Pelodiscus sinensis: one gene and its partners. The protein of the gene in region 3 purifies or fractionates together with the protein of the main gene of each other region. This does not show direct contact. Links are inferred from orthologs where the notes say so. Each region holds a gene or a part of one and is shown on either strand. Other genes may lie near its edges.

Evidence for each region.
Region 1: the proteins of ASF1B (region 3) and MCM6 purify together in Homo sapiens (affinity purification with mass spectrometry; 4 studies listed by BioGRID and IntAct, counting the BioPlex papers as one, with this or other methods). This does not show direct contact. The link is inferred for Pelodiscus sinensis from reciprocal best matches to the Homo sapiens genes ASF1B and MCM6.
Region 2: the proteins of ASF1B (region 3) and TLK1 purify together in Homo sapiens (co-immunoprecipitation; 3 studies listed by BioGRID and IntAct, counting the BioPlex papers as one, with this or other methods). This does not show direct contact. The link is inferred for Pelodiscus sinensis from reciprocal best matches to the Homo sapiens genes ASF1B and TLK1.

What each region holds. Positions count from the first base shown.
Region 1 is NC_134717.1:17,813,242-17,821,055, reverse strand, and holds the start of MCM6 (DNA replication licensing factor MCM6), read left to right. Parts: upstream 1-4,759; 5' UTR 4,760-4,864; coding exon 4,865-4,962; intron 4,963-6,026; coding exon 6,027-6,173; intron 6,174-6,915; coding exon 6,916-7,026; intron 7,027-7,814. UniProt on the Homo sapiens protein: Acts as a component of the MCM2-7 complex (MCM complex) which is the replicative helicase essential for 'once per cell cycle' DNA replication initiation and elongation in eukaryotic cells.
Region 2 is NC_134717.1:41,040,806-41,047,952, reverse strand, and holds the start of TLK1 (serine/threonine-protein kinase tousled-like 1), read left to right. Parts: upstream 1-4,092; 5' UTR 4,093-4,444; coding exon 4,445-4,589; intron 4,590-7,147. UniProt on the Homo sapiens protein: Rapidly and transiently inhibited by phosphorylation following the generation of DNA double-stranded breaks during S-phase. This is cell cycle checkpoint and ATM-pathway dependent and appears to regulate processes involved in chromatin assembly.
Region 3 is NC_134729.1:10,142,113-10,150,050, forward strand, and holds the start of ASF1B (histone chaperone ASF1B), read right to left. Parts: upstream 3,085-7,938; 5' UTR 2,999-3,084; coding exon 2,890-2,998; intron 1-2,889. UniProt on the Homo sapiens protein: Histone chaperone that facilitates histone deposition and histone exchange and removal during nucleosome assembly and disassembly. Cooperates with chromatin assembly factor 1 (CAF-1) to promote replication-dependent chromatin assembly.

The sequences.
Region 1 (7,814 bases), on a different chromosome or scaffold from region 3:
TGTAGATGGTATTATCATGAACTTTCATGGGCACAGCCCACTTCTTCAGATGACTAGAGTGTTGCAAGTCCAGATGCTATTCTTGGTTCTGGACATCCAGCACTCCGGTCATCTGAAGAAGTGAGCTGTGCCCACAAAAGCTCAGATACCATCTACGTTTCCTTAGAACATAATGTTCATCCATCTAGCTTTTGACATTTCTTGCATTTGCATAAGTGAAGAGCTGAGCTATAATTGTCCCATAGCATTGTTGGATATATGCCTTAGCATATGTAGGCAAGAACGTGTAATACAATTTGACATGATTGCCCAACACACACCTAATGCTATATGTATTGTATTATCACAGAACCATAGACAATTAGAGTTGGAAGAGATCTCAGGAGATCATCTGCTCAAAGCAGGACCACCCCAAGTAAATATTATTATTACATTCTTAAATAATACAGTACACATCGGAATGCATTGGCTAACTTGATAGCAACTGCCCCATTTACTATGGATGCAACCTGAAAAGAGTTAAAACATTTCTGTAAAATCTTTAATACCTCTTGTGTTAACCTTATAGGTATTTAATCTTATCAACTCTTTCAAAAACTCCCCTATATGTTTATTGCCTTCATAATAATCCTTAATGACCTATGCATTCCATTTATCTACAGCAAAACAGATAATTCTGCAGGTAGCTTTACAGGGGTTTATGATAGGTTAGTGTGTTTTTCTGTTTGATGGATTTTCCTACTCATGCTCATCACTGGGTCATGATCTTTTGATAACATTCTAAAGTACTGCAATTATTCACATCACCTGATGTTTGTGTCACTTTGCACCCTATTAACTTTGCACTCTGATCTTGTACGTCTCAGGAGAGCGCTGTCTCTTTAAGCCAGTGGTTCCCAAACTTTTCAGCATCATGCCCCCTTTTTGATTTTTGAAAAACCCTCATGCCCTCCCCCCCCCCCCGCCCTCAAAAAATAGCAAAGCTTGTTGAGCAAAAGAAAAAGGAACTGACAGCACAGCAAAAACCTGATGGGAGAAGGGGCACTGGGTCGCCTCACCACCCCGCCTAGAATTTTTTCCCAGTTTGGGAACCCATGCTTTAAGCAAAACACTTAGGAAACTGAAGGCTTTTTTTTAAAGCTAGCAGGAACAACTGATAGTTTGCTCTATTCCCTAAATTGGCAGGAGGCGGGAGACACTCTGACATCATCTCTCTCTGCCTCTTATATGTACAGGAGGCAGCTTCTGGTCCAGAACAGCTTGGCCATGGGTGGCTCAATGTGGGGGGGGGGGGGGGGAGACGGGAGCAGCAGGGAGGCAGGAGGAAGAACACCTCTGCCCTGAATGAAGGCATGCAATGTTGCTCCCATGATAGGGTTGCCAGGTGTCCGGTATTGTACTGGACAGTTTGGTATTTGCACGCTCTGTCCAGTAAAAAAATTGGAAAATACCGGACACGTGCAATATCTGGTATTTTCTGATTTTTCCGGCTGCACACCGGACGGAAGCCTGGTGTGGGCACAGGGAGCGGCTGGGAGTCCCAGCTGGCAGGCGGGGCCGCAATTCCCTCGGGGAGCCCTCAGTCGATTGAGTGTGAGGAGGAGGGGAAACCTCCTCCTCGCTCGTGTGTCACTGGGAGCCTGTGCGGGACAGGCAGCAAGTGCCCTGGTCAGTCCCGGTCCCTGCCGGCCAATTTGCTCACCCCCCCACTTCCCGGCCGGCTGGTTCTCCCCCACTTCTCCTCCTGATTTTCCCTGGCCAGCCTCCCTGCATCCCACCCCCCCCCCCAACTCTGCTTCCCGCCAGCCCGTTCCTCTTCCTGATCTCCCCTGGCCAGCGCCGCTGCACCCTTCCCATCAGCTCTGCTTCCCAACCCCCTTCCTCCCGGCCCCCCTTCCTCCCAGCCAGCGCTGCAGCACCCCCCCCCTACCAGCTCTGCTTCCCGCTCCCCCTTCCTCCCGGCCACCCTCGAGGCCCCCGATCCCCCCCAACTGTGTTTCCCATCCCCCCCTTACTCCTGGCCAGCCCCGCCCCCTCCCGGCCATTTCCCCCTCCCCTGATATCCCGCAGCCAGCCCCGTTCTGCCTAACCCCCCCCCCCCCCATGACCAGCCCTGCTTCCCGTTGGCCCCCCCATCTTCCCTGGCCAGCCCCATTGCCCCCCCCTCCTGTTAGCTGTTTCCAGGCCCCCCCCCCCCCCTTTCCGGCCAGTACCGCTCCCTTCCTGGCCAGTCCCCATCCCCCCAATGAAGCGTGTCTGGTTTTTTTTTTTTTTTTTTAAATGACTACCTGGTAACCTCTAGCAGTGATCCAGGTTCTTGGAGGTTTTTTTTTTTTTTTTGCTCAACAACTTTGGTTCCTCCTCCCCCCTGCTTTTTTTTCCTTCAACAAAAATTTTTCCTGGTGTTTTTTTCTGGGGGTTGGGGGGAGGGTGTTTGGTATTTTTGTTTCAGCCATCTGGCAACCTTATCCATGAGCATAGTGCCCTGGTATGTGATTAAGGCTTGCTTAAAAAAACAAGCATGAAAGGTAAGGGACTCTTGTCTGGGAGCATGAGAACCATTTGCGCACACTAGCACGATCAGGGACAGCGGCTAGTAAGTTTAGAGCCTGTCCCAATGTGTGGGATCAAAGGTGGTAGTGTGAGGCTGCTATTGCCACACAGGAGGAGCAAACAGTGTGACCCACTGACTCTTTTGCCATTGCAGTTCCTGGTAAAGACCTGCAGCTCCATGGATACTGGTTTTTATCTGTGGAGATCATATCCTCATTTGTGGATATACATTTTGTATCCATGTAGGACTAAAAAAGGAAAGCCACATAGTTTACCTTGGTGGAAGAGAGAGACTCTTAAGAATCAGGCTCCTCCTGGAGCCTGTTCCAGAGCCGGGGACATTGCACCCATCCTGTCAGTCTGTGATATCTACTCACTCCAGAAATGAACAAACAGCTGTGTGCAATTATGCAATTAAGTCAAAACTTCATGCAGTATGCTGCAGATACATTAGCATCAGCCCTGAGCTGCTGTTAGGCAACCATAGCATAGGCAGCTGGGCAGGACACTCCTCGTTTTAGTGCACTTCACTTACCTCTTCCTAGCCTTGTTCTGATCCTTTCTGCAGGCTCCCAACACAGTTGGCTGCAGCAGCCTGGTGAGCCTTCCTTCAGAGAGGATCTAATAACTTAAAAGTGAAAAAGCCTTCCAGCTGGCTAGACCTATTAGCACAAGATTAGAAAATGTTAGAGCCATTAAAGTGGTAATACAGCCATTTAACAGGCATTTGCCAACTTCCAGGCACATACTTTTTGTTGCTGAATTTACTGACAAAAACAGTTGTGCCTTACTGTAATTTCTCAAGACAAAGTTAGTCTACAGGACCTTAGTTTAAAATCTGTGTTAAAAAAATTAATTAGGGCATTACTGAAGATGCAAATCCTTGCACTGATTTTTTAGATGCACTATCCTGGGTATTTATCTTTGGCCATAAGTGCTTGGATATTCAGTCATATAGCTTGTAAAATAAATCCTTCAGCAGACCACGATTATCTAAAATACATATGTGAGCATGGGCCTACTGTTGGGCACAGGGGCACCACTGGAATACTACTACTGAGTGGGGCCCTGCATCAGCCCAGTGACCTTGCTACTGCTCCAAGGAAACGACTGACTTCTACAACATTTCAGAACACAACCTTGGAACCTCTAGGCCACCCTGGCCGATGGGCAGAGGCTCCCAAGGGGCAGGCCATTTACTTCTCCCCAGGAGACTAGGTGCTTCCAAGTGACTTGTCCCAGATGGGGGTGTGCCGAGTGCCAACTGCCCTTCAGGGCAAGCACAAGCTGGGCTGCCAACTCCGACTGACTGGTAGGATTGCCAGATGGTTGAAACAAAAATACTGAACACCCCCCCCCAAAAAAAAACCCAGGAAATTCTGTTTAAGGGGAAAAAAAGGGGGGAGACCAAAGTTGTTGAGCAAAAAAAAAGGGACGCCGAGGACTTAAGCCAAATTTTTTTTTTTTAAATAAAACAGCATTACAACAGGATGTCCCCTTTAAGAGTGAGTTCAGGGATAGGAACAGGGTAGCAGTTGAGCACTAAGACCCAGGCACTTTCCCTAGGTCTTTTGGCCTGCAGCTATTTTATGCCAGGTAAGCATGGGGGCTGTGGGCTTGTGGGGAAGGCCGGGTGCTCAGCATTTTCACCTCCTGGCCAGGGGAAAAAAATCAGAGAATACCAGATAGCTCAGGTGTCTGGTATTCTCTGAATTTTTTATGGACAGGAGGTGAAAATACTGGACTGTTCAGGTGAATAGTGGACACCTGGCAACCCTACGACCAGCTGCCAATGCAGCACATAGTAGCGGGTCTAGGAGAGTTAGCCACTCTAGGTGCAAGTGCCAGGGGCTGCAGGGAGAGGGGCTCAGCAGGGCACACCAACCCCTGGCTCAGTGCACACACGAGCCTTCACCCACCCACTGGAAAAGTTCTCCAGCCTCTTCCAGCCATCAACCACCCAAGGGACGGCCAGCATTGCGCATGCGCAGCCCCCTGCCGGCTGCGCTGCTCAGGCACGTTCCGCGGAGCTGCTCTTTCAAGGTCTCCTTATTTGCTGTCCGCCGACTCGCAGCCCTCTCCTTTAAATGCCACCTCCCCTTTAACATCGCCGCCTTCCACCCGTGGGCGGGGTCGGATTTGGCGCGAAAACCTTCCCGGGGAAAACCTCTGGAATGGGCGGAGCGCGGGGCGCGGCGGCCGCTGATTGGTCGGCGGTGGCGCCCGCCAGCCACGTGGGCTGTGTCCGCCGCGCGCGACTTGTGTGCCTTGTCCCGGCTTGGTGCGGGGGGAGGCTGAGCTCGCGCGCGCCATGGACTTAGCGGCTGGGGATGGGGGGGCCGCGCCCCAGCAGCTCCGCGATGAGGTGGCGGAGAAGTGCCAGAAGCTGTTCCAGGACTTCCTGGAGGAGTAAGTGCCCCGCGCCAGCCCCCCTCCCCTCGGGAGCCACGGGGATTGGGGGTGCGCGGCGGCTCCGAGGCCCACGAGCCGCCTGTGACGCGGGGGCGTGTCCCGACCGGCCCGTGCAACCGCCTCTGCCCGCGCGCGCTGCTGGGGGGGGGGGGGAGGGTCGCGCGTCTCCCTGCGCTGGGGCGGCCTCTCTCCCCTACAAGCAGGCGCGCCTCGGCGCGTTCAGTCGCCGCTCTCCTGGCAGCGGCGTGTCCCCCTTCGGTCTGACGGGGTGTGTGCGGGGGGGGGGTGCATCTTCCCTTTGGGGTTGCTTCTGCTGGAGCAGTCCCTTGGGAAAGCCGAGCGTCGTCCCGGATGGCTCTACAAAGTGCTGCCTTCAGACTAGATTCCCTTCTGTCTTGCTCGCTTGCGCTTCGGTTTGTGCATTTCGGACAGCTCTGCGCAGCGGAGGTTTTTATTTTCGTACCATCGTTGTCTTGTACGAGGGTGCACCTATTACTGCTGTTAGCAAGACTGTTCCATCATTTCGGCCCAGATTTAAACGGCATTTAAATGTGGTGCAGTTACATTATTGGCGTCTCCTTTAAGTTATGTGTGAGTCTCCCAGCTTTTCTTCCTAATTATTGTCAGTAATACTTGTTTTCTAGCAATTGCTAAAGCTTAGAACAGTGTTCATCTCTTGGCTGTTTAAGTTTCGTTTTTCCACTTCTGAAGTTTGAATTAGTCCTCCAAGGAGTTTTGTATCAATCACAGGCTGTCACACAATCTTGGCCATAAAGAAGTAAAAACACATTTTACCTGTGTGTGTCATTGTAAAACCATAAGTAAAATGCTGTCTGGGGAATCAGGTATGTGAGACATTTGTATTAATTCACTTTGAAATCCCCATGTGTGGGTCAAAGGGGGAGGAGAAAAATTATTTTTGGCAGTGAGGTTTGCAAGTCCTACAGGTATATGGCTTTTTTCCCCCTCCTACCCACTTTACACAGGGCACAGCAGAACTATTCCATTGCTGCTTGCTATACAGTACTGCAAAACTTTCCCTAAAATACTGTCACTTTTAGATTCCAGAACAGTGATGGGGAAGTCAAATACTTGCATGATGCTGAAGAGCTAATTCGTCCAGAGAGGAACACATTAATTGTGAGCTTTGTGGACTTGGAGCAGTTCAATCAGCAGCTTTCTACCACTGTCCAGGAGGAGTTTTACAGGTAAGGCTCACCTAAGAACTGAACATCAGTGGTTGTTATTCAGGATGGACAGGAATGGTGTCTCTAGCTACTGTTTGTTAGAAGCTGGGAATGGGCAAAAGAGGCTGGATCACTTGATAGTTACCTGTTCTGTTGATTCCTCTGAGGCATCTGGCATTGGCAACTGTCAGAAGATACTGGGCTAGATGGACCTTTGGTCTGATCCAGTATGGCTGTTCTTAGGTTCTTAACATCACCTGGATATTACAGTTAAAAAACAGTTCAAATGTAATGGGAAAAATATCTGCTGACTGGCCCCATTACTAGCTCTGCCCACTTCAGGTGTAGTGTTCAGAACTATATTATCATCAAACATGATACAAATAGGCAATTGCATTTGTGTTGTGGGGAAAAGTAGATGGAACATTTGGAAATGCTAAATTAATCCACCCATCATAGTACTTGCTACTTTCAAATGTATTGGGCCAGTTGCTGTTTCCTAGTCTCAACATTTGAATCAGGCTAAGCTTGACCCTGAAGACTTAGTGAAATAAACTGTACTGAAATCTCTTTTTAGAATAAAGAGAATTAAAATTATGTAATCGTGTGATATTTCATGTTTGGCACATTTTTACTTGTTTACCTGTGTCTTGGCATACTATAAACCAAAGCTTGTACATATATGAGGAAGGCCTTTGATTGTAAAGGGGAAAGGAGTTTTGTATAACTTCAGTATAATGTGAAATTATTTTCTGTATTTCAGAGTTTATCCTTATCTGTGTCGAGCAGTAAAGACTTTTGCCAGAGATCATGGAAATGTTCCTCCAAACAAAGACTTTTATGTGGCATTCCAAGATCTACCTACCAGACACAAGTAAGATGCCTTTTAAAAAAATAATTGAAATCCATCGATGTGGGCTAAGCAAGCATAGTATAAAGAAGATCTGACAACAATAATGAGTAAGCAATGAAATTTAGAATTGAGATTAATGGATTCCAAGGCTAGAAAGGACCATTGTGATCATCTAGCCCAGTGGTCTCCAACCTTGTAAAGCACAAGATCACTTTTTGAATGCAAGTCAATCCAGGATCTATCTCCAACCTAAATATCCCTGCCAGGCTGTCTTCCCCATCGCTGAGGCTCTGCCTCTGCTTACTCTGGCTGTGTCTAGACTACATGACACTTCGAAATTGCAAATGAAGTGGGGATTTAAATATCTCACACTTCATTTGCATAATTGCATCATAGTGCTCTTTCGAAAAAAATGCCATTTTGAAAATAAAACTTCTTTTTCAAAAGAGCACTATGACGCGATTATGTGAATGAAGCACAGGATAATTAAATCCCCGCTTCATTTCAGTTTCGAAGTATCTAATTTACATCCCTCTGTCGAAAGAGGGATGTAATCTAGACGCAGCCCCAGTGGAGATGGGGATACCTTGATGTCAGCAGCCTCTCCCTGTGCCTTCCCCACCCTGCAGAGCAAGCAGGAGGCTCCAAAGATGCAGCTCCAATGTAGAGGGCAAGAGAAAAATGACCTGGATAGCCTCCTGGCCAAACCTGTCAGGATCACCTGTCAGAGGCTCCAGGATCTACCAGTAGATCTTAATTTACCGGTTGGTGACCACTGACTTAGCCTGACCATCTGTAGACCACTAGCC
Region 2 (7,147 bases), on a different chromosome or scaffold from region 3:
CTGAATACAATGGAGAAATGGTTTGAGATAAACAGGATGAAATTCAGTAAGTGCAAATGCAAAGTACTTCAATTAGGAAGGACCAATCAGTTTTACACACACAAAATGGGAAATGACTACCTGGGAAGGAGTACTGCGAAAAGCGATCTAGGAATCTCAGTGGACCACAAACTAAATATAAGTGAACAGAGGAATATTTTTGCAAAAAACGGTATCATTCTGGGATGTACTAGCAGGAGTGTTGTAAACAAGACATGAGATGTAATTCTCCCACTCTACTCTGCACTGATTAGGCCTCAATTGGAGTATTGTATCCAGTTCTGGACACCACATTTCGGGAAAAATTGAGAGAAACTGTAAAAGGTATACAGAAGAGCAGCAAAAATGAAGAAATGTCTAGAAAACATGACCTATGGGGCAGAACTGGCCCTAGGGAAAATTTCTTCCTGGGTGAACCCGTGTTTGGCACCACCCTTTTCTCCTGATACCTATGGGCTCCCCATGTCCTGCAGTCCCATATTGTGCCTCCTTTGCCACAAACCCCTGCATTGTGCCCACTTTGACCCTAACCTCTGCACAGTGCTGCCTTCAACCCTAACTCCTGCACTTCCCTCCCCACTGTGCTCCCAACCCCATCCCTGCACTGCCAAGAAGCCCTGCCACACTGCTCTCTACACCGTATCCCACCTCCTTATGCCAAGCAACTCCCTGGCCAGTGGCTTCCACCTAGAGATGGTTTGTGTCCTGCAGCATTTACAATCTATGAATTCATGTGACAAATAAAAGGTCTCAAGAAACAGAAACAAATATATGCAATTTGTGAATACATTTGGAATATTGTTATTATTATTTTTATAATTAGACAAACTACCCACTATCTGTAACTGTCTGATTTCTCATAGGCATTGAGTCGGAGATGTGTTTCGAGAAGACATGAGGAGGAAAATGTAAGTGGCATTGTGGGATGTGGATAAGTGGTGATGGTGATGTCTGTATATGGTGGAGTCTGTGCAGATGTGTTAGGAGCAGATGGCTAGGTAGGATTGAGCTGCATGTAGGGAAAGAGTCACACAGCAGGATCAGTACAGCAGATACAGCTGGATTAGATAGAGAGGTGATAGGGTTCATGCAGCAGACACAGCTGTATTATGTGACAGAGTGGGGCAAGGATGGTGGGGTATGTTTGGCAGGAAGGTCAATGCAGAAAACAGGGTTATGTAAATTGGCGTGGCTGAAGCAGGCAGGACTCTTTGGTGCATGGGGGAGGTCAAGGTAGCAGGCATGGCTGTGTGAGGTGCAGGTTGTGTGCATGGAGTCTGTATAGCAGGTAGGGCTGGGTAAGGTGTGGGTGGCTGTATGTGTGTCGTAGGAGTCAGGGAAGTGTGACATTGTGCATAAGTGTGGGAGTAGCGCAGCAGGTGAGGCAGGGGGAGGGGTTGTATTATTTTTGTGGGACAGGTCAGGACAGGAGGCTGTGTGGTGTGAGGTATTTGCAGCTGTAGTGTATGTATCAGGTCAGTCAGCAGGCAGGGCTGTGTGAGGGGCTGTAGCGTGTGTGTGGGGGGGATCAGTGCAGCACGCAAGGTTGTGTGAAGGATTGTAGCGTGTGTAGAGTGAGTGCAGCAATTGGGGCCTGTAGCGTGTGTGTGTGTGTGGGGGGGTCAGTACAGCAGGTAGGATGGTGAGAGGGTGTGTCAAGACAGCATGTAGTATGTTGTGAGGTGGGGAACTGAATCGTGTGGCATTAGTTCAGTAGGCAGAGTGATGTGAGGTAGGGGCATCCGAGCAGCAAACAGGGTGGTGTGAAGAACTGTAGTGCATGTGTGGGGTCAGGGTAGTGTGAAGGTCAATGCAGCAGGCAGAACAGTGTGAGGTGGAGGAGTCAGGGCAGCAAGCAAACTAGTGAGAGGGACTGTAGTGTGTTGTGGGAGTGGGGTGAATGCAGCAGACAAAGTCATATGAGGGGCGTCTAGTGTATTGATTGTGTGGGGTCAGGGCAGGAGACAGGGTTGTGTGGTGGTGGCAGATCAGTGCAGTGTGAAGTGGGCAGCTCACAGCAGCAGGGAGGATGTAGTGGGGGGGGCATTAAGTCAGTAGGAAGTTGGTATGAGGGGTTGTAGTGTAGTGTATTGTCTATGGGACCTGGGCAACATAAGGATCTATACTGTGTATGTGGTGGTGGGCGGGGAGGGGTCATCAGGGCAGCTGCCAGGATGCTGTTACGGGGTTAGTGTATGGTGTTGCAGGTCAGTGTGTGGAGTGGGTCAGGGTAGGTGACAGGGCAGTGTCAGTTAAAGTTGTTAGAGTAACAAAGAGGGTGGTGTGAGACAGGAAGTCAGTGCAGTGGCAGGACAGTGTGAGGAGAGGTGTTCAGGGCAGCCGCCCGGGAGAGGAAGGGCAGTGAGAGGGGTCAGACTACTAGGCAGGGGAATGTGGGGGTATCGGCAGGCGTGCAGTGAGAGGGGGTCAAAGTACCAGGCAGGGCAATGTGGAGGTGTTGGGGATTGGGCAGGCAGGCAGTAAGAGGGGGTCAGAGTACCAGGCAGGGCAATGTGGGGGTGTCAGGCAGGCAATAAAGGGGTCAGAGTACCAGGCAGGGCGGTGCAGAGGTGTCGGGGGGCGGGCAGGCAGTGAGAGGGAGGTCAGGGTACCAGGCAGGGCACTGTGGGAGTGTTGGGTGGGCAGTGGGGGGGGGTGAGGGTACCAGGCAGGGCGCTGTGGGGGTGTTGGGCGGGCAGTGAGCGGGGGGCAGGGTACCAGGCAGGGCGCTGCGAGGTGTCAGGAGGGCAGCGAGAGGGCGGCCAGGGTACCAGGCAGAGCGTTGTGGGGTGTCGGGCGGGCAGTGAGAGGGGGGTAAGGGTACCAGGCAGGGCGCTGTGAGGGTGTTGGGCGACCAGTGAGGGGGGTCAGGGTACCAGGCACGGTGCTGGGGGGTGTCGGGCGGGCAGTTGGGGGGGGGTCAGGGTACCAGGCAGGGTGCTGGGGGGGTGTCGGGCGGGCTGTTGGGGGGGCCAGGGTACCGGGCTGGGGACGGGGGTGTCGGGCGGGCTGTTGGGGGGGTCAGGGTACCGGGCAGGGCGCTGGGGGCGGGGGTGTCGGGCGGGCTGTTGGGGGGGGTCAGGGTACCGGGCAGGGCGCTGGGGGCGGGGGTGTCGGACGGGCTGTTGGGGGGGTCAGGGTACCGGGCAGGGCGCTGGGGGCGGGGGTGTCGGGCAGGCTGCTGGGGGGGGTCAGGGTACCGGGCAGGGCGCTGGGGGTGTCAGGAGGGCTGTTGGGGGGGTCAGGGTACCGGGCAGGGCGCTGGGGGTGTCGGGCGGGCTTTTGGGGGGGTCAGGGTACCGGGCAGGGCGCTGGGGGCGGGGGTGTCGGGCGGGCTGTTGGGGGGGGTCAGGGTACCGGGCAGGGCGCTGGGGGCGGGGGTGTCGGGCGGGCTGTTGGGGGGGGTCAGGGTACCGGGCAGGGCGCTGGGGGCGGGGGTGTCGGGCGGGCTGTTGGGGGGGTCAGGGTACCGGGCGGGGGTGTCGGGCGGGCTGTTGGGTGGGGCAGGGTACCGGGCAGGGCGCTGGGGGCGGGGGTGTCGGGCGGGCTGTTGGGGGGGTCAGGGTACCGGGCGGGGGTGTCGGGCGGGCTGTTGGGTGGGGCAGGGTACCGGGCAGGGCGCTGGGGGCGGGGGTGTCGGGCGGGCTGTTGGGTGGGGCAGGGTACCGGGCAGGGCGCTGGGGGCGGGGGTGTCGGGAGGGCTGTTGGGGGGGGTCAGGGTACCGGGCAGGGCGCTGGGGGCGGGGGTGTCGGGCGGGCTGTTGGGGGGGGCAGGGTACCGGGCAGGGCGCTGGGGGTGTCGGGCGGGCTGTTGGGGGGGGGCAGGGTACCGGGCAGGGCGCTGGGGGTGTCGGGCGGGCTGTTGGGGGGGGCAGGGTACCGGGCAGGGCGCTGGGGGCGGGGGTGTCGGGCGGGCTGTTGGGGGGGGGCAGGGTACCGGACGGGGTGTCGGGCGGGCAGCGGGGGGCCCGGGGCGGCGGCGCAGCGGGCAGGGTGGCGTGCGGGGTGAGCGCGGAGCTGGCCAGGCCGGCGGGGCAGGTGTACGTGCGGTCCCCCGGCCCGGCGCGCTGGAGGTGCGCGGCGCTCGCTGGCGGTGGTGTTTGCGCATGACCCCTCCCCGCTCCCTCCCCCCCTCCCGGCGGCGGAGGTTAGCCTGAGCCTCAGACACAGGCGGCTGCTCGGCGGCGGCCGCGGCGACGCAGTGCAGAGGTGCGGGCAGGTTGCGCCGGCCCTGAGCCCTGTCTCCTTCGCGCCCCGCCTGCCTCCGGAGCCCTCTCCCCGCAGCGGCCTCCTCTCCCCGGTGTCGGGCCGGCCCCCCGGCCATGAGCGCGGCGCTGGGTGTCCCCCCGCCGCGCCGCCTCCCCCGCCGCCCCCGGCGGCTGCCGGGCTCCAGGAAAGTAGCTTGATGAGTGTCCAAAGTAGCAGTGGAAGTTTGGAGGGGCCGCCATCTTGGTCCCGGCTCTCCACGTCCCCACCGAGCCTGCAGGGCTGCTCCGCGGCGGCGGCCTCCCTGCTGCACAGCGCGCCGCCCGGCAAGCCGCCCAAGGAAGGTAAATAGCGCGCTCCGTGCCCACGGCGCTGCGAGGGGGGCCCGGTCTTCGGGGAGGGGCCCAGCCGCCGCCGCTGCCGGAGGCCAGTCCCAGGCTCGTAGGGCCGGGTGCGCGGTGAATGGGGGTGAGGGCAGGCGGGAGACTTGTGCTCAATGCAGGGGTATTTCCCTTCAGCACAGCGGGGACCCCCAGATCCTGCCGTGGGGGACCCTCCCTTCCCCTGAGGGGCAATCGGGAGACACCCCATCTGGAAATCCAGCAATTTCACCCCGTCTCTGTTTGTTAGTAGTAAAAGCGGCTTCCTAGTCTCTCCACCCCCTTCCTTTTCCAGGGCTACGGAGGAGAATTGATTAATGTTTGTTCATTTCCCTGACAATCTTTATAGCAAGAATCCTCAGCCTCTTCTAATTTTTTATCCCTTCTCTGTGATTTTTATGGCGGAGGCTTGCATCTTCTGTTCTTTTTCTTTCCAAATTTTATTTTCCACCACGCATTTCAAAAGTAAAAGTGATTTGTTGGGTGTATTGGGTGAATGTGGCGGTTGTTGCTTAATGGAAAGGGTCGGGTCCTTTTGGCATCATGGAGGTGGAGTAGAAAAAGAGACCGAGATCAAGGAATGTGTTCCCATCGGGGAGGAAACACTTCTCTGAGCAGCTAATTTGGAGGACAGAAGTGACACGACACCTTAAAACCACCAGAGAATGATTGCAACTTTCTCCTTTCCTCCATCACATCTTAGATGATAATATTTTTCTCCTCCCTCCCCTGCTCCTCCCCTCTTGTGTTACACCGACAGTGAGAGCAGGGTGTTGTGGGTGTTTGCAGGGAATATCTGTATGAAGGTTATGTGCAAACAAGTCTCTTCTTATGCTGTTCCAGTTATTGTCCATTTTTCTTCCTTGCATTGAAATACATTGCCACAAGATGTAGCAATTATACAGCTAGTGGAATGCTCAGTGCTTTTTAACTAAAATGACTGCTTGCTGTATACCAGTTGTTGCTCGAGAACTTTTATACCCACATGCATATATTTGTAAAGGGGAAATTATGCATGTTAAGCAGTTGTATAATTTGACTTGGATATCTTATTGAGTATCGAAGACCTCAATATTGGGTGCTTCTGCTCTCTTGTGTAGAGAACACTGGTTGCCATGCTGAAAACTTTCAAACTTAAAATAAGCTAATAAGGGCTTAGAGAAAAGTAGGATAGCTTTATTTAGAGGATACTTGTGCAGTACTACAAAAGTTGAAGTGCAAGTTTTTATCAGTGAACAATTTAAAGACTTGACAATACATTCAGCCCCTTGAAATGTGTAAGTGTGTGTCCTCAATCTCCATGCTTTTAGTTGTTAGACTTGCATCATTCCTTGTGACTTTTGCACATGCTCCTGGATCTGAGACTGGCATTATTACTTTCCAGAAGATATAGGGAAAGGTTGGGTATATGGCATATGTTAAAGATGCCAAATAAAGTAGCAAGCATTTTGTACTCTTGCCCCCCTCCTGGGTGAATTCTTCAATAAGAGAAGATAGTGGCATGTGTGTGTGTTTTTATATATATAATGTGTGTGTGTGTGTGTGTGTGTGTGTGTGTGTATATATATATATATATATTTATTTATTTAAGTTTGCACTGGGTTTACCAGCATTAGAACTGTGCGTACTTTCGGATTCAGTTATTCACCTGTCATTATTGGGATACTTGGTACATACATCTTAAATTATTATTGCAGCTTTCTGTTTTTAATTGTTATGTTGCTCACTCTAACAAAAAGTGCTGCTTGAGTAGTCCTGACAGAAACAATACATTGAGGCATCATTTTATATTAATGTTTATCGTTTTAAAACTGGTTAACAATTTATTTTTTCTGTCTATAGTAATTTAGGTTGTGTAGTTCAGAGGTTGAAGACCAAACCACAAAATCTGCTGTGTGATTCAGAATGACACTGTACTTATAGTCTATATTAATACAATTTATTCATTGCTTTTGCTTCTTCATGATTGTGGGGCCACTGGACATTTTCCATTTGAAAAGCGTGTGAGATAAAAGCAGTCTTTGGTTTTTTTTTTTTTCCTCTTCCCATTGGCATTAACACTACACTTCACACTAATGCAAAGGAAACTTGCATGTTAGAAGAATCTCACACCAAGGAAATACGTCCCATAAATAAAAATTATAGTTTTTCATATCTTTTTTCAAACAATATACCTTTTTGCCACTTCTGATGCATCTGTACACTGTTTTATAGTGCTAGATATTGCTATGTATTATAGTAACGTGTATGTGAGACAGTTGACAAAATAGATGTGGGAGCTGTACAAGATGCGCCCTCAAGAATATAGAAAAAAATATTATTTTGCGTAATTTGAGATATAGTATTTGATTAAGTAACTAAAGCTTGGGCCAGAATACATAAACCAGTACAGATTTAAGGCTGCAATCACCTTAAATTTGTAAATTTCTTGTTTATCTTCAATGCTGTTGCTATGACTAGTGGTTTTTTAGAGTGTGTTTTTGGTTGGAACACTATTCTGTGCCATTTAGGTATGTAGGAGG
Region 3 (7,938 bases):
CATTCCAAGCAAGTCCTACTCTGGTTTTAAGTCAGGTTAATAGTCAGTGCTCCTTCCAATACAGGTACCAGGGCTGCCAAACTGTCCGTTCAAAGGGAGGAGTTTCAACTCTGAGCCTCTTAGGTTTGGGTGGGTGCTGAGCTTTGGCAAAAGACACACTCAGACATGTCTAAGTCTGAGCCAATGCCAGGCCTATGCCCCCAAGCACAGACAAAGCTCGAAGGATTAGGGGTGTGTGTGTGTGTGTGTGTGTGTGTGTGTGTGTGTGTGTGTGTGTGTGTGTGTGTGTGTGTGTGTGTGTGTGTGTGTGTATTGGGGGGAGGGGAGAGTGGCATTTCCACTTCCACACCAGAGGGAAGTGTTCCATGTAACATGCATGTACTTTCTAGGAGACTGGATTAGCTTACTAACCACTATTTAACATCCCTAATCGAGTAGTCGACAGAATCAACTACTCGATTAGTCGAGAATGGGGTTCACTGTGGCTCTGCTTTTTAAATGTAGTAAGAGCCGCTAGGGAACGAACTAGGTCCCCAACGTTGGCATCTGCCTCCCTGCGGAAAAAGCCAGCTGGAGGAGGGGAAACCAGCTCTCTCAGCACTGGCTCCTGCCCCCCCCCCCCCCCCCGCTGCCTCTGATACAGAGGCAGCTGGGGGGGGGAAGCAACTAGTAGAGTAGTGACTCGACTACCCAATAACCCTAGGCTTATCAGGTAATCAACTACTCCAGCATTTTTCAAACTGTGGGACCTGACCCCCCCGGGGGGTCACGAGCAACTCGGGGGGGATGTCACGGTATCACAAGTTTGAGATCCCCTGAACTACTCGACTAGTCACTTATATCCCTAGACTGGGTCAGGGTAGCTTTTACCAGGCAAAGTGATGTCACGCAGCAGAGGGGGTTTGGATTAAGGGGACATTCTCATAACAAATCAGAAACAGCTTTTCACACAGATGCTCTATAAATTTACAAGAAAGGGGGATGTGCCAGCCATAGATTACATTACATAACAGACTAGAGTAGGTTCCTCATGCAGGGAAGCCTTCCTCAAGGAGCAAACAGCTGCATATACTCTCAAACCCCGGGAATGGGGCTAGAGCTCCTAGAATAGGGAATAGTGGGGGACAATCCCACATAAGCCCTTAAGAGCAAGGAATTTCAGTCAGATGGAGGACCAACACTCGCCCCTCCCTGCACTGGTGAGATTCTGCAGACAGGTTTCCCAGCACAGCATGGTGCGTCCTATTTGGGAAAAAATCCTGTGGGGCACCCCTGTACCCCCCCAAAAAACCCTGCTGAGTAAGGCAGGCTATGTAGGTGGTGGTGCTGTGTGCGCACGCATCCCCCCCCTCCCCTCCTCTCCCACAACCTGGATGATGGCCTCAAAGAGGATGAACTTAAAAAACAACAAATGGTCTGCTACCCCCTGAAGCTTTAAAGAGGACAGGGAGTCCAACAGCTGTCAAAGCTCCTGTCCCCTTGGCTCAGCAGGGCTGTGCTCAGACTCTGCAGACAGCTAATTTTCAAACTGTAAAGCCAGTGAGACATGCCAATTTTTTAGCCTCAAAGACAGTGGAGAGATTTGGCTGCCACCACTCCACAGCTCTGATACCCCCTGAAGTGAAGAGGCTCACAGTTTAGGCCATAGAGGGCTTTGCAAGGTACGCTTGCATGACAATGTCGCTCTGGGATTTGACATCTCACATTCACATTATCCCAACACCCCCCAGAAAGATTCTCTTCGAACCCTGGGCTCCTTTCTTCGAGAAGAGAAACCAGCCTCCCAAGAGATGCCTCAAAAGAGTCTTTTGGATGGGAAATGTTACTGGGGGAGGGCACACAAAGAACTACAAACCAACAGCCACCTTTCAGAGCCACCATGTTAAGTAGTGTCCCGTTCACATGTTTATCAGTGGCAAATATTCAACCCAGGAACATTGGCCCAAATTAGTCTGGACTCCATTAATCAACAAAAGGCAGATATTTTGCCCCTTGAAGTATCCAGACCAGAAGGATACTCTGGCCACCAAACTAAGCTATGAATAGCCTGCTTTCAGAAATGCTGGGCACACCTGATTCTCCCCCATCAGCAGCACCTCTTCTAATCATTCCATAACTGGCAACAAGCAAGCAGAAGTTTGCAAGCAGAATTCCCCCGGCAGCCAGGTACGAGTCCTGTCCCTACTGGTAAGGGGCACGGTTATACGAGCAGGGTTAATCAGGCTAGCTCAGCTAGGTTATTTCAACACCAAAGAGCTCTCTGCAGCATGCTGAGAAGATCTCCAGATCAGATGTAGAACATGGGGGCATCCTTAAAAGGCACCTGGCTTTCTCCTCATGCCCAGTTCTCCCAAATGGCCACATCTAGCTCCAGACTCTTCGCCTGTGCAGGCATTTACAATGGGGACATTACGATGCGTTTAAATTCACACGGCGCTCTCAGCCTCTGAGGGCCTGACAACAAGGCGACCAGAGTGAACAATCAGGCCAAGAGATGGAGGGTGGGGAAGAGGAGCCTGCCCAAGACAGAGCATCTGGCCACCCTCCCTGGCAGAGGGGCCAACCCAGCAGCCTTTTTAAAACACCCGGCGTGTGTGTGGCAGGGTCCAGGCTCCCTGCACTTCGCAGCCCCGGGACGGTGAGGCAATCAGCTCCCTCCATGTTAGAGCCCGGAAGGGACGTGACCAGGGCCACAGCACGTCAGTGGCAGAGACCCCAGGCGTCCCGGCTCCTGGCCAGGCGTAGGGACCAGCGGGCACGGCCTGGACCCCGCTGCCAGGCGCCCTGGAGTCCGACCCCCGGGGGGGGAATAGCCCCGCCCATGAAGCCCCCCCCCGCCAGAGGGGAGACCCCCTCCCCAGCGCGCGGGGGGAGGGGGCCCGAACTCACCGTGCGGCAGCGCCTCCCCGCACTCGAACTGCACCTGGAAGCGGAGCGGGCGGCCGAACGGGCTCGGGTTCTCCAGCACCGACACGCCCAGCACGGACACGCGGGACATGCCGCCGGCGGGAGCGGGACCCGAACCCGCCGCGCGCCACAAAAGCCGCCGCCCCGCGCCGCCCGCGCCGGCCCTTGTCCCTGCCGCGCGCGCCGCCGGCCAATCAGCGCGCGCCGCCCGCCGGCCTGCGCCAATCCTCGCCTGCGCCTTGCTACGCCCCCGCCAATCCTCGCACTTCGCGCCGGGAACCAATCCCCCACCCGGCCCGCCCACTTCCTGCCAGTCGCCACGCCCTTCCCCACATACGCCAATCGGCTTTCCCCGCTCCTGCCCTGGCGGGAGCCGGATGCAGCCAATCCGCACCCGACCCACTTTCCTCCCCACCAATCAGCGTGGGCGACAGTTTTTGGGACAAAGACGGCCACTCACTAGCCGGGAGGAGGGGGGAGACGCTGGGTAATCAGAGGAGGAGCCTGGATTGGTAGGACTGTAGGGGGCGGGGCCTGGACTCTACAGGGCCATGCAGGAGCGGGCGTTACTTTCCTGCGCCGGTGGGTGGGATCCACGAGAGGGGCTCAACAGGGGGCGCTGTGGGGCAGGGAGCAGGGCGGGGGTTCAGCAGGGGGTGCTGTGGGGCAGGGAGCAGGGCGGGGGTTCAGCAGGGGGCGCTGTGGGGCAGGGAGCAGGGCGGGGGTTCAGCAGGGGGCGCTGTGGGGCAGGGAGCAGGACGGGAGCTCAGCAGGGGGCGCTGTGGGGCAGGGAGCAGGGCGGGGGTTCAGCAGGGGGCGCTGTGGGGCAGGGAGCAGGGCGGGGCTCAGCAGGGGGTGCTATAGGGCAGGGAGAAGGGCGGGGGTTCAGCAGGGGGCGCTGTGGAGAAGGGAGCAGGGCGGGGCTCAGCAGGGGGCGCTGTGGGGCAGGGAGAAGGGCGGGGGCTCAGCAGGGGGTGCTGTGGGGCAGGGAGCAGGGCAGGGGCTCAGCAGGGAGCACTGTAGGGCAGGGAGCAGGGCTGGGGCTCAACAGGGGGCGCTGTGGGCAGGGAGCAGGGCAGGGGCTCAGCAGGGGGCGCTGTGGGCAGGGCAGGGGCTCAACAGGGGGCGCTGTGGGGCAGGGAGCAGGGTGGGAGCTCAGCAGGGGGTGTTGTAGGGCAGGGAGCAGGGCGGGGCTCAGCAGGGGGTGCTGTGGGGCAGGGAGAAGGGCGGGGGCTCAGCAGGGGGCGCTGTGGGGCAGGGAGCAGGGCGGGGGCTCAGCAGGGGGTGCTGTAGGGCAGGGGGCAGAGTAGGGGCGCAGCAAGAGGTACTGTTCCTGACGGGTCGGTGCTGGCCCCAGTGTGGTGCTAGACAGAGTTGTGGTGCAGGGATTGGGGAGAGTAGAGAGCAGAGTGCCCCCTCCTGACTCACAGCATTTACCCCCCACTTCAGTCTGCCTCCCTCAATTGCCCCTCCTGCAGATTGGGCTGGATTCCCTGCTCGCCTGGTCTGCTGTGTTGCTGCTAAGCCCAGTCCCATATGTCGCTACCGCTGTGCAGGCTGCTACACGTCTGCTGTGCCTCTCCCCAGACATAGCTGCATTTCAGCACTGGGTGAGCTATCCTGCACAGAGTTGCTGTGTGACTGAAGAGGGAAGCATGGAGTGGGTGAGGGGATGGGAGAGGGGTGTGGATGCAGGAATGAAGTGGGGGAGAAGGAGAGATGGGGTGGGAGATGGAGAGAGGGGTATAGATGGGGGCAGATTGTCTGGTAGCAGTGTGCAGGCTCTCCAACCTAGACCAGGCCAAACTCCCGCGCCCTTCCCTGAGGAGGCCACTATCCAAACCAGATGGAACAAGGGGAGGGGCTCATCATACCACTGACAGGCAGGCGCCCGGCAGCCATGCGAGACAAGGGGGTGGGCTCAGCGTGTCTCCCCGCACCGAGCTGTCGGAGTGAGCAGCCCCGGAGCAGCCGCGATCGATTGGATCCATCACCAGGCTCCCTCCCCAGCTCCCCTTTGGCCCCGGCCGGCTGGGGGAGCCGGAGTTGCAGCCAGGGATCCTCCGTGCACCTGACAGCTTGTCAGCCCTGCCAGTTCGTCTCGTTCTGCTGAAAGCAGGAGCTCCCAGCCCTGGGCCTGGCGCGCTCCCCACCCCCATGCCCCAGATGCCTGGCATGGCAGGTTGGATGCAGAAGGGAGAGCTCAGATACACTGTGATGGCACTTTTTGTTTTTGGAGGAGCAGAGCTGGGTGGGAGGAGCCCTGAATGGGCCAACAGGGCTGTGATCAAGAGTGAGGGGCACCGGCAGAGCTGGGGGGAGCCCAGGGCTCCCACCATTCACTCTCACTGCACTCACCCCGCCCCTTCCCGACATCCCCCCACCAGTGACATGGCCGCCGGTGCCATTCCCCCCATGGCTGGCAGGTGGCGCCTTCGCCTCACCATCCAGCTGAGAGCCCAGTGGGGCAGGCGCCAGCAGGGTCCAGGTGTGGGGCAGTGAGTGGAGGTAGGGGAGGCAAAGTGGAAGCGGAGAGCCATTGCCAGGGGCGAGGGGGGTGGGACATTCATCCCCAGAGCTGGGAGAGGGGAATCACTGACATTTCACACCCCCGTCTCCCCTCCTCCATCCACCTCCACATGTGGCACACTGTACCCCTGTGTCCCCCCACAGCCCTACCCCTGCCCACCCGCTCTAGCACCCCCCCACTGCCTCATCCTCCCTCCTCCATCCACCTCCACATGTGGCACACTGTACCCCTGTGTCCCCCCACAGCTCTACCCCTGCCCACCCGCTCTAGCACCCCCCCACTGCCTCATCCTCCCTCCTCCATCCACCTCCACATGTGGCACACTGTACCCCTGTGTCCCCCCACAGCTCTACCCCTGCCCACCCGCTCTAGCACCCCCCCACTGCCTCATCCTCCCTCCTCCATCCACCTCCACATGTGGCACACTGTACCCCTGTGTCCCCCCACAGCCCTACCCCTGCCCACCCGCTCTAGCACCCCTCACTGTCTCATCCTCCCTCCTCCATCCACCTCCACATGTGGCACACTCTGCATCCCTGTGTCCCCCCACACCTGCCCTCCCACTCCATCACCCCCACTCCCCATCCTCCCTCCATCCACCTCTGCGCCCAAATCCCCCACTCAACCCACACTCATCACCCCCAGACCCATCCCTCCCTCTTTTGCCTCCCCACTCAGCCATCCCTCCCTCCTTCCTCCATCCACCTCCACACATGACAAGCCCCCCCCCCCCCCGCCCACTCTTCCCCCCTCGCTTTCAGCATTCCCCCAAGTACCGGTCTCCCACACTTGACGCTGCCCATCCCTCTGCTCTCTGGCTCGGTCTGTGGGTTTCTCTAGTTCCTGCCAGGTTATCAGGGGGTTCTGAGGCGGGTCCCTGGCCTGGGATCTGATGGGGGCAGCGATTGCTGACGTGTCAGGGCATGGCCGGGCTGATTGGGACCCTGGGACAGAAGGTCCATCTATGACTAGGCTGATACATAGGGCACTGCTAGCAGGGACATGGGGCAGCACAGACGGGGAGCCCATTGACCCCCAAGGGTCAGGCTGTGACCTGCAGCCTCTAGGGAGAAGCCCCTTTGAATTCGTCACAGTCCAGGCCCAACGTGAACTCTGCCACCAGCAGGGATGTGAACAGGCAACTGGTGTTGGGGAGTAGCCCCCCACCAACGGCCTGCTGCAGCCCGCTGCTCCCCTCCCACCAGCTCTGCCAGTGCTGGTCGGTCCCGACCCACAGCCGCCTGCTTCCCTCCCCCCAGCTCTTCCAGTGCCCCTCAGTCCTGACCCACAGCCCCCTGCTTCCCTCCCCCCAGCTCTTCCAGTGCCCCTCAGTCCTGACCCACAACCCCCTGCTCCCCTCCCCCCAGCTCTTCCAGTGCCCCTCAGTCCTGACCCACAGCCCCCTGCTCCCCTCCCCCCAGCTCTTCCAGTGCCCCTCAGTCCTGACCCACAGCCCCCTGCTCCCCTCCCCCCAGCTCTTCCAGTGCCCCTCAGTCCTGACCCACAACCCCCTGCTCCCCTCCCCCCAGCTCTTCCAGTGCCCCTCAGTCCTGACCCACAGCCCCCTGCTTCCCTCCCCCCAGCTCTTCCAGTGCCCCTCAGTCCTGACCCACAACCCCCTTTGTTCCTCCCAGCAGTGCCCCAGGCCATGACAGAGAGCGGGCAGGTTTGGGGGGCACAAGGGATGCTCAGCAGGAGGTGGCTTCATGATAATTACCATGTAACTGTGTCTAATGAAGACAAGGCCGTTAATTGCAGGTAGTGGAGTCTGGGAGGCTGCGGCTGCTTGTTCCCTCCTCCCCCCGGAGACAACACATGCCAGCCCCTTCAGGGCCAACAGCCCTTGGAGCCAGAGCCAGACCCCCACCCCCCTACACACACACTGATCCCAAAAGCCCAGTGGGACCCGGAGCCATTTCGCTGGGCTCTGGCTTCATGGCCTCACTCCCAGCCAATATCCAGGGCACATTTACAAGGGTACTTTCCAGAGCCCCTAACACAGCCCTGCCCTGGGCTCCCCACCCCCGGCTCTGCCAGTGCTACTCAGAGAATTAGCCTCCCTCCCCTGAGCTCCAGGCCCCAGGGGCTGGTCCCCACAGGTCCCCCCTGCTTCCCCGCCAGCCTCCTATGTCCAGCCCCAGCTGCTCCAGCCCAGTGTGCGGGAAGTAGCCGCAGGACTGCCCGGCAGGGAAGGAGCCAGCATGTCTGGCATTGATCAGCTTGGAGTTTGTCCACATGGGAAGCTATTAAATCCTAGGTCATTTCCCTGGCTGTTTGGAGCACAGTGGAATGGGTGAGAGTGGGGGGCGCTGGGTGGCGTGTCAAGGGGCTGGCCCAGTGTCCCAGAGCCTGGAGCCCTGGAGTACAGAGTCTGGAACATGCCTCCCCGCAGGAAGTGGGAAAGAAAGAGGCGAAGGAGACAAATGAAAACAGAAGGAAACAATCCCCCTCTCCTGGAGAGGTGGGCCCCGGCTCTGTCTCTGAGCCCTGTCCACAGTGAG